Coturnix japonica: one gene and its partner. The protein of the gene in region 1 interacts with the protein of each later gene in a biochemical or structural test. Links are inferred from orthologs where the notes say so. Each region holds a gene or a part of one and is shown in the gene's direction. Other genes may lie near its edges.

Evidence for each region.
Region 2: the proteins of NOTCH1 (region 1) and NUMB form a complex in vitro, tested with the Homo sapiens proteins (2 studies listed by BioGRID). The link is inferred for Coturnix japonica from reciprocal best matches to the Homo sapiens genes NOTCH1 and NUMB.

The regions. Positions count from the first base shown.
Region 1 is NC_029532.1:6,325,015-6,328,817, forward strand, and holds part of NOTCH1 (neurogenic locus notch homolog protein 1), read left to right. Parts: intron 1-236; coding exon 237-429; intron 430-515; coding exon 516-661; intron 662-899; coding exon 900-1,013; intron 1,014-1,778; coding exon 1,779-1,898; intron 1,899-1,999; coding exon 2,000-2,152; intron 2,153-2,487; coding exon 2,488-2,716; intron 2,717-2,838; coding exon 2,839-3,040; intron 3,041-3,139; coding exon 3,140-3,293; intron 3,294-3,420; coding exon 3,421-3,605; intron 3,606-3,744; coding exon 3,745-3,803. UniProt on the Homo sapiens protein: Functions as a receptor for membrane-bound ligands Jagged-1 (JAG1), Jagged-2 (JAG2) and Delta-1 (DLL1) to regulate cell-fate determination.
Region 2 is NC_029520.1:23,486,769-23,491,220, forward strand, and holds the start of NUMB (protein numb homolog), read left to right. Parts: upstream 1-1,544; 5' UTR 1,545-1,643; intron 1,644-2,285; exon of another isoform or gene 2,286-2,397; intron 2,398-2,535; exon of another isoform or gene 2,536-2,556; intron 2,557-2,841; exon of another isoform or gene 2,842-2,969; intron 2,970-4,452. UniProt on the Homo sapiens protein: Regulates clathrin-mediated receptor endocytosis. Plays a role in the process of neurogenesis.

The DNA.
Region 1 (3,803 bases):
GCCCACAGCAAGGCCCCCTCCTGACTGCATTGATTTCCCCTCCCAATTTCACTGAATTAAGCCAGGAGGGCAGTGCAGCAGTGTGAACTCTCCTTACCCCAGAGGCGGGCCTGGCACACGTGTGTGCCTAGAGATCTGAGCTTGCAGTATCTGAAGGACTCTACGTGTCCCCAGGAGGCCATGCACCCTTAGTGTCCCTGCTAGAACTGACACTTTGCTGCTCACCTCTTCCCCAGGGCGCATGTGCAACATCAACATCGATGAGTGTGCCAGCAACCCATGCCACAACGGGGGCACGTGCAAGGATGGCATCAACGGCTTCACCTGCATCTGCCCCGAGGGCTTCCACGACCCCAAGTGCCTGTCTGAAGTGAATGAGTGCAACAGCAACCCCTGCATCCACGGGAGGTGCCACGACGGGCTGAACGGGTAGGCTGGGGCACAGCACTGCTTGCACCAAAGCACGGTCAGGTGGCACCAAAGCCTCTGCTTTATCCTCTTGTTTTTCCCCAAAGTTACCGCTGTGACTGTGACCCGGGCTGGAGCGGGACAAATTGCGACATCAACAATAATGAGTGTGAATCCAACCCCTGCATGAATGGTGGCACCTGCAAGGATATGACCAGCGGTTACATCTGTACCTGCAGGGAGGGGTTCAGCGGTAAGGATGTGGCTGAGGACACTGCCCTGTGCCGGGGGCTGGGTGGGAGCTCCAGAAGGATTTCGCCATTGAGCAGAGGTGTCACTGGAGGCACGATGGAGATTCCTACTTCAGGAGGGAGTTGAGGACCTTTGCTAGTCTGTGGTCCCATGGCTTCAGCTGACAGCAGGAGGTTCTCTATGCGTCTGACTCCGCCCCACCCTGTTTTTAAAGCTCTGTTTCCTTTTTTCTAACCCAGGACCCAACTGCCAGACCAATATCAATGAATGTGCCTCCAACCCCTGCCTGAACCAAGGCACGTGCATCGACGACGTGGCCGGCTACACCTGCAACTGTCTCCTGCCCTACACAGGTGAGGGGGCAGGAGCCCCTCAGCCCTCCCATAAGGCTGCAGACAGGTCCCTCTGCTCCCAGGTCTTCCCCTGTGCTACAGCACAGCTGGAGGAAACTGAGAGGCTCACTGAGGAACAGCTGGTGTCTTCCTCCACTGGAGAGGGCAGAGGCACTGGGAACCCACCCCACTGCAATAGGGGCCTTGTTGGTTCTCCCACCGTGGTGCCCAGGGTTGGAAAAAGCAGTTTGAGGCTGCGGGGCCGGGCAATTCTGCTGAGCTGATTCCTGTTTGCCATCCTCTCACTTCCGCTCGCACAGAGCAGCAGCCAGAGCACAATAGCAGGAAGCCATGAGCTGTTTCCTGCCTTCGGCAGTGGCCATAGAAACCCCTGGGGGGGAGGGATGAGGATAGGGCAGGAGCGGAGGGGAAGGCTCTGGAAAATAGCAAAGGGCAGTTCAGGAGATACTGGCTGACAGGGAAGATAAGGGTTAGGAGGGAACGTGTCCCTTGACTGGATGTAAACAGGAAAAGCAACGGAGAGGGAGGGGGGAAAAGACACCCTGAGCAGCACTTCCCGTCCAGAGGAAATGTGCAGCCATTTAACGAGGCCCAGATTGCAGGAGTTTAAAGATTTGTGGGGCCAGGGGTCATGGAGATGGAGGAGAGGGCTGTGGATTAGATGGGCAGCCCAGGCCCTGCAGGAAGCAGGCTGAGGGCAGGTGGAGGCTGCGTAGTCACCACTGTCCCTTGGGAGGTGGTCAGTGGGCACCTGTCCCTGTGTAGGAGCCACCTGTGAGGACGTACTGGCCCCCTGTGCTGGCGGCCCCTGCAAGAATGGAGGCGAGTGCCGGGAGTCGGAGGACTACAAGAGGTTCTCATGCAGCTGCCCACCCGGCTGGCAAGGTGAGCCTGCTCTGCCAAGTGGGTCTGGGGCACAGCAACCAGCCCTGGTGCTTCTGCCAGTGCCCCCCAGCTCACGTGGTTCCCATCCCGCTGTCCCGCAGGTCAGACGTGTGAGATTGACATCAATGAGTGTGTGAAGAGCCCCTGCCGCAATGGGGCCACGTGCCAGAACACCAACGGGAGCTACCGCTGCTTGTGCCGGGTGGGCTTCGCAGGCCGCAACTGTGACACCGACATTGATGACTGCCAGCCCAGTAAGAACCAGGGGCACCTGGGGCTGTGTGGGGTCTCTAGGGATGGATCAGCCTCCCCGTGCTCAGAAAGCTGTGTCTCTGTGTGGGTCCAGGCCTGTTGGGCTTTGGGAATGTCCCAGCCCCATCCCTGTGAGGCTGCGTCAATCTAGGCCAGGTGGTGGCTGGCAGGAAGGAGGCTGGGGGGGACGGTGACGTGCAGGCAGTGAGCAAGTGTGTCCCATGTGCCTTGTGCTTTCCCAGCTGGGGCTGGGCTGGCCTCTGTCCCATCCCTCTGTGTGTGGGATAACACCAGGGCTGGACCCATTGCACCTAATGCATGTGTGCCCCATTTCCAGATCCATGCCACAATGGTGGCTCCTGCTCGGATGGCATTGGCACGTTCTTCTGTGAGTGCCTGGCTGGCTTCCGTGGGCTCAAGTGTGAGGAGGACATCAATGAGTGTGCCAGCAACCCCTGCAAGAACGGGGCCAACTGCACTGACTGTGTCAACAGCTACACCTGCACCTGCCCCTCTGGCTTCAGTGGCATCCATTGTGAGAACAACACGCCGGACTGCACTGAGAGGTACTGCCAGTGTGGGATTGGGGTCCCTGCATGGGTTTGGAGGGGTTTCGGGGCTGGCATCCAGTACCAAGAGTGTCAGCCCTTGGGGGTGACTCATGAGGATGTGGTGTTTGTGCTCCCAGCTCCTGCTTCAATGGGGGGACCTGCGTGGATGGCATCAATACCTTCACTTGCCTCTGTCCATCCGGCTTCACGGGCAGCTACTGTGAGCACAACATCAACGAGTGTGACTCCAAGCCCTGCCTGAACGGGGGCACGTGTCAGGACAGCTACGGGACGTACAAGTGCACCTGTCCCCAGGGATACACTGGGCTCAACTGCCAGGTAGTGAGAAGATTCCAGGGGTCCCCGTATGCAGGGATGGGGCTTCATCCTACAGAAGCTGTTCTGGGCCTGATCTCCCCCCTTGCTTTCCCTGCACAGAACTTGGTGCGCTGGTGTGACTCCTCACCCTGCAAAAATGGGGGCAAGTGCTGGCAAACCAACAATCTGTACCGCTGCGAGTGCAACAGCGGCTGGACTGGGCTCTACTGCGATGTCCCCAGTGTCTCCTGCGAGGTGGCTGCAAAGCAGCAAGGTACATCCCTGCCATCATTCCCTGTGCACGGCCTGGGGTTCCCCAGGTCTCCCAAGGATTAATGTCACTGTGTTGGGATGAGCTGTTTCTCTGGGTGTCACTGAGATCTTGCTGCTCTCCCTGGCAGGTATCGACGTCGCTCATCTTTGCAGGAATTCAGGGCTGTGTGTGGACAGTGGCAACACTCACTTCTGCCGCTGCCAGGCCGGCTACACCGGCAGCTACTGCGAGGAGCAGGTGGATGAGTGCTCCCCAAACCCCTGCCAGAACGGAGCCACCTGCACGGATTACCTTGGGGGCTACTCCTGTGAGGTGAGAGCTGCTCTCGTGTTGGGCTCTTTCTGAGGGTAGTGGTAACTCAGGTGGATTGGGAATAGATCAGGTGTTTGTATGTCCTGTGCACCGTGCAGCAGCTGGGTGAAGGTCTCTGACAGCTCTCCTCTCCTCACAGTGCGTGGCTGGTTATCATGGAGTTAATTGCTCAGAGGAGATCAATGAGTGCTTGTCCCA
Region 2 (4,452 bases), on another chromosome or scaffold:
GGCTTGTTCCTAGAAGGGGTAGTGTTACAGTGTGATTAGAGAAGGGAGATTTAATCGCCAACATTGTTTTAGGTAGCCAATAGGAAGGAATGATGTTAAGCCTCTGGGTATCTGCGCTGAGGACATGGAGTTTGTATTATCATGAGCGCGTGTGTAATATACTCTCAGCTCCTTAGGGGATAGCAGACTATTCTGCTGTCTCAGTGAGACCAGAAAGGATCTCGTTTAAAATGGTACCGCTATCAGGAGCACATGGGCACAGCCAGCTCCATTATCCAGCATATTACCCACAGAATGCTCTTCTCTTAAAAGGTGGGGAAGGGGCAGTAGGGCTGGATATCTTTGATGTGCTATGATGTCTCTTCCATTTCTTTGTTACTAAAAAAAGAATAAAGCACCCTGAAGCCCTGCTTCCAATATGAGGCCTCAGAGAACTAATTTTCATTGCAACTCCGTGCATGAAGACCAACTGTACAGGGGGAGACCCACAGGTCAGTGTAGCAAATGTGACGTTTGCTGTGTTGGGTGCTCAGCTGGTTCTGTTAAGGTGGCTTCTAGGGTCATCTTCCTTTCCCAGCAAAGCCACCCCTTTCCCTCTGGTCACCAATGACTATATGAGGAGTTGGGTAGATGCAAATAGCTGAGTGGACAAGTAATATTGCAATGAATTAAATTCAATCTCTAATAAATATTTGTAAAAGCTACATACAGCTGAGGCATAGACAGGAACGTCAGTTACAATAGGCTGTCTTATCCTTCTCTTTACCTGTCCTCACGTAATTCTCAGTTAAGAGCAGAGTGTCTTTATAATACAAAGATGCTTAGAATTTGCTTAGAAATTGAAGTGTAATGCGCCATATTTCATCAAAAACGTTGTCACGGGCCCAGAGGTAGCAAAAATTGTAAAGAGTTAACCTAAAGCCATGGGGAATGCAACGTATTAAGAGCTAGGCCAGGTCAGAAATGATTCCAGCTTTTGTAACTGCACGAGAGATGTTAGGGCTGGTAGAAATGTCTGCCTGGTCATTCTGGGACACTGGTGAAACATCACTGTGTTGTGCTGCTGTCTGAGAGCAGCACTCTGCAAGTATCAGAGGCAGCAGTAAGAAGGAGAGCTGCTATCTGCTCTGGTTTTGCTTTCTGAGCAGAGTGACGTGAGATGTAAGAATAAATATGTGTTTTTTCTCCTGTTTTATTCTCAAACATGTGGTGACTTGGGGGGACAGTGTCAGTCTGAAACTCAGAGTTTGTGTCATCCTCCAGCTTCTGTCCCAGCACCTCCAGTGTAAATGATTTTTGCACACCATGTTTTGAAATGAGCACCGATTCCAGTTCCCTTATGTCAGTTCACGTTATAGCCTGTATGCTTTGTCATTTTCTTTGCTTGATTCAGGAACAAAGAGGAGCAAGGGGTACTGGTGCATGCAGGGAGGAGATAGAGAGCTAATGATACAGAGTAACCTTACGTAATCTTTCCATTTCAGTTTCCTGAGGTGTTGTGTTTGTTGGTTTGTTTTTTATTTATTTTTACTTATTTACTTGGCAGCGGAATGCTCCAGGACCTCTTTCAGCTTGTGTTTTGGATCAAGTAGCTGCTCAAATGCCCGGTGAGAGGAGACAGCGGCTGGGAACAGGCAGCCCAGGTAAAATCCTCATCAGAGGCACGCCTGTGCTCCTTGGCACTGGGGGAGGAGGCCAGGGGACAACATTTGGGGCCCTAAGAGCGGCCCGCTCACACTGTAGCCCAGCCTCCAGCTGACGGGAGGTCTGTGGAGAAACCGGCACCTTTTGTAGCAGCCCTCCCTCCTGCACAGCTCCCCGCTGACATCTGCCCGCAGGGTGACCGCTTTTGTACGGAGGGAAGAAAGCCGGCGGCACGGCAAAACCCGCGGCTGTTCTATGGAAGGCAGGGCCCCATGGTCTCCAGGCCCCGACTCCGGGTTATGGAGCAGACTCCCGCACTGCCCCCCACCTCGGCCCGGCCCAAACCCGCCCGGCCCCACGCACCGCAGCCGCCCCCCGCCCCATGGCGGCCTAACGCCGAGCGGGGAGGCGGGCCCGGAGCCGCAGCTGGCACCTCCGTCGTCCTATCGCTGCTCTCCCTTTGCACCGCTTCACCCAATCAGGAACGGCAGAGCGGAGCGGGGGCGCCAAAGCCCCTGAGTGAATAAAACACTCGGGGCCCGTGGGCGGAGCGGGGCGGGGCCGGCGCCGTGACGGGAAGCGCCGCGCGGGCAGCCCGGCAATGAGGGACGGGACGGGCGGCCAATGGGCGGCCGGGGTGGGCGTGGCGGGCGGCGGGGACCGGAGCCGCTGTGTGGAGGGGGGAGCGGCGGCGCTGCTCAGTGGCGACGGGCGGCTCAGGAGGCGCCGGAGGGAGGCGGCTGCGGCCGGCAGGTGAGCGCCTCCGGGCCGCGGGGCGGGGTGAGGCCGGGCCGGAGCCGCGGCGGGCGAGGGGCCGCGGGCGGGGCCCCTGGGGGGAGGTTGGATTACGGGCGCGGGGCGGCGGAGCCCGAGGGGATCGGTGGGGGCCGCGGGCGGCAGCGCCCCGGGGAAGTACGTGAGGGGCCGAGGGAGGCGGCGACGCCCTGCGGCGTCAGCGCTGGGCAGGGGGCGGCGGGCCGGGACCGGGGTGGGGCGCCCAGCGCGGCGCAGGTGGAGCCGGGGAGGGCGGCCGCGAGGGCCCGGCGGCGGGTGGGGAGACCCCGGAGTCCCCGGCCTCGCCGAGCGGTCCCCGGCGCTTCCTGCTCCGCCGCCGCCGGCTGCACGAGCCCTACGCCGGGCCCCGCGTCTGCGCGAGGGTCCCCGGTGCCTCCCGACCCGCTACGCTTTGTAGCGGCCCCGGTGCGGGACGAGCAGCCCTCGGCCCCGGCCCGGCGGGGTGCCCTCACCGTGGGGGAATCCTGCGGGGCCGAGGCGCCCGGCGCTCGGTTCGATGCTCGGTGGGAGCTGTTAGAGCGGCCCCCGAGGTGAGGATCGTGTCTTCCCACCTGGGAGCGCGGCTCTCGGCTTCGCCTTCCTGCGTGGAGCAGCTGCACAATGGGAGCTGTTATCGGGCAGAAGGCGGCGGGGATGGGCGAGCAACAGCGTGCGGCTGGGGCCGGAGGGAGCGGCGGGCGGACACGGCCCAGCTTCGTTTTCGGGAGGGTTAAGCACGGCTTCTGTTTGCAATGCGCTTCACTCATTTCATTTCATTGCACCGATGGAAGCGAGCCGGCCTGGCGAGCGACGTGGTACATCCCTCAGAGGAGAGCCCCTGCTTCGCAGCAGCCCGGCTCTGAAGCTCCCTCAGCCCGGTGGATTTATGTAACCTGCTCATTAGTGCTCCGTGAAGTGATAAGGGAGCTCTTGCTCGGATTCCTATTCAATGCGTGTGTTAATGCGTTATCGAGGGTCTTGTCAATGCTGCTCTATCAGCCGTCTGCATTGGGAGACGCTTGTAACCACCACAGCGTCCGGCTGTCATGTTGGTCGTGTTGGTTTTGTGGTTTTCATTCTTGGCTTTCTTGCCTCTCCAGCTGGGGTCCGGTGTGGGGGGGTGAGACAGAAGGCACAGTCATTCCCTTTGGCTGGAGTACTACTCCAGCTATGGCTTGGAGAAAAAGTGTAAATACTGAAATGGATTTCTGACTCATCACTTCTATTTGACTTATTGATCCATGGTTACTGCTAACGTGCTCTCTACGATTATGCAGAAGTTAATAGTTACCATAGAGCAGTGGTATTGTTTTTCTGCTTGTTAGTGTGTTTTCCATTTCTTCATCTCTTGGCAATTCTCTGTGGAAATGCTGCTTTTTTTTTTTTTTCTTCCTAGCAAAAATCTCATGGAAGGGATACAAAAAATAATGTGAGCAAAGTCCAAAAGAACAAATGTGAGATGTGTTCGTCCTTGCCCATGATTCTGAAGTTGTTTTGATAGCCTGGGTAATGCGGCGCTGAACTGTTTCATCTGTAGCTGAGGAAGGTGTTGGTTTTAAGGCTCAGTGAAAACTCTGATGTGTACAGCTCCAAACATAACACATCAAAGAACTTCTCTTCCTTTCTAAAGCCTAAAGAAGAAACACAATTCAGATAAAACATTTAAATCCTTATTAGCTGACAACTTATTCTTCAGCCTGGGAATGACTTCTCTGCACTTATTACTGCTCTCGAATGCATGGAAGATGAAGGTGCATGTAAACAAGGCAGAGCAGACACATTTATCTACTTATTTTGGTGTTGTAAATCCCTGTGGCATTGCTCTGGTAGCTGACAGCATTATGTGTTGAGGAAGAAGAAAAACAATCCAAGAAGCCACGCTGGGCTCTCAGAACTCACGAGACTCCCAGCATTGCATTTCATAGCATGGTTTAGCTGCTTGGTGTTGGAATGATCTTTAAGTACTTTTCTTTCTCCCATAATGGGAGCGGTGGGTGAAGAGCTTGCTGAAATAACAGTAAAAATCCATGGAAA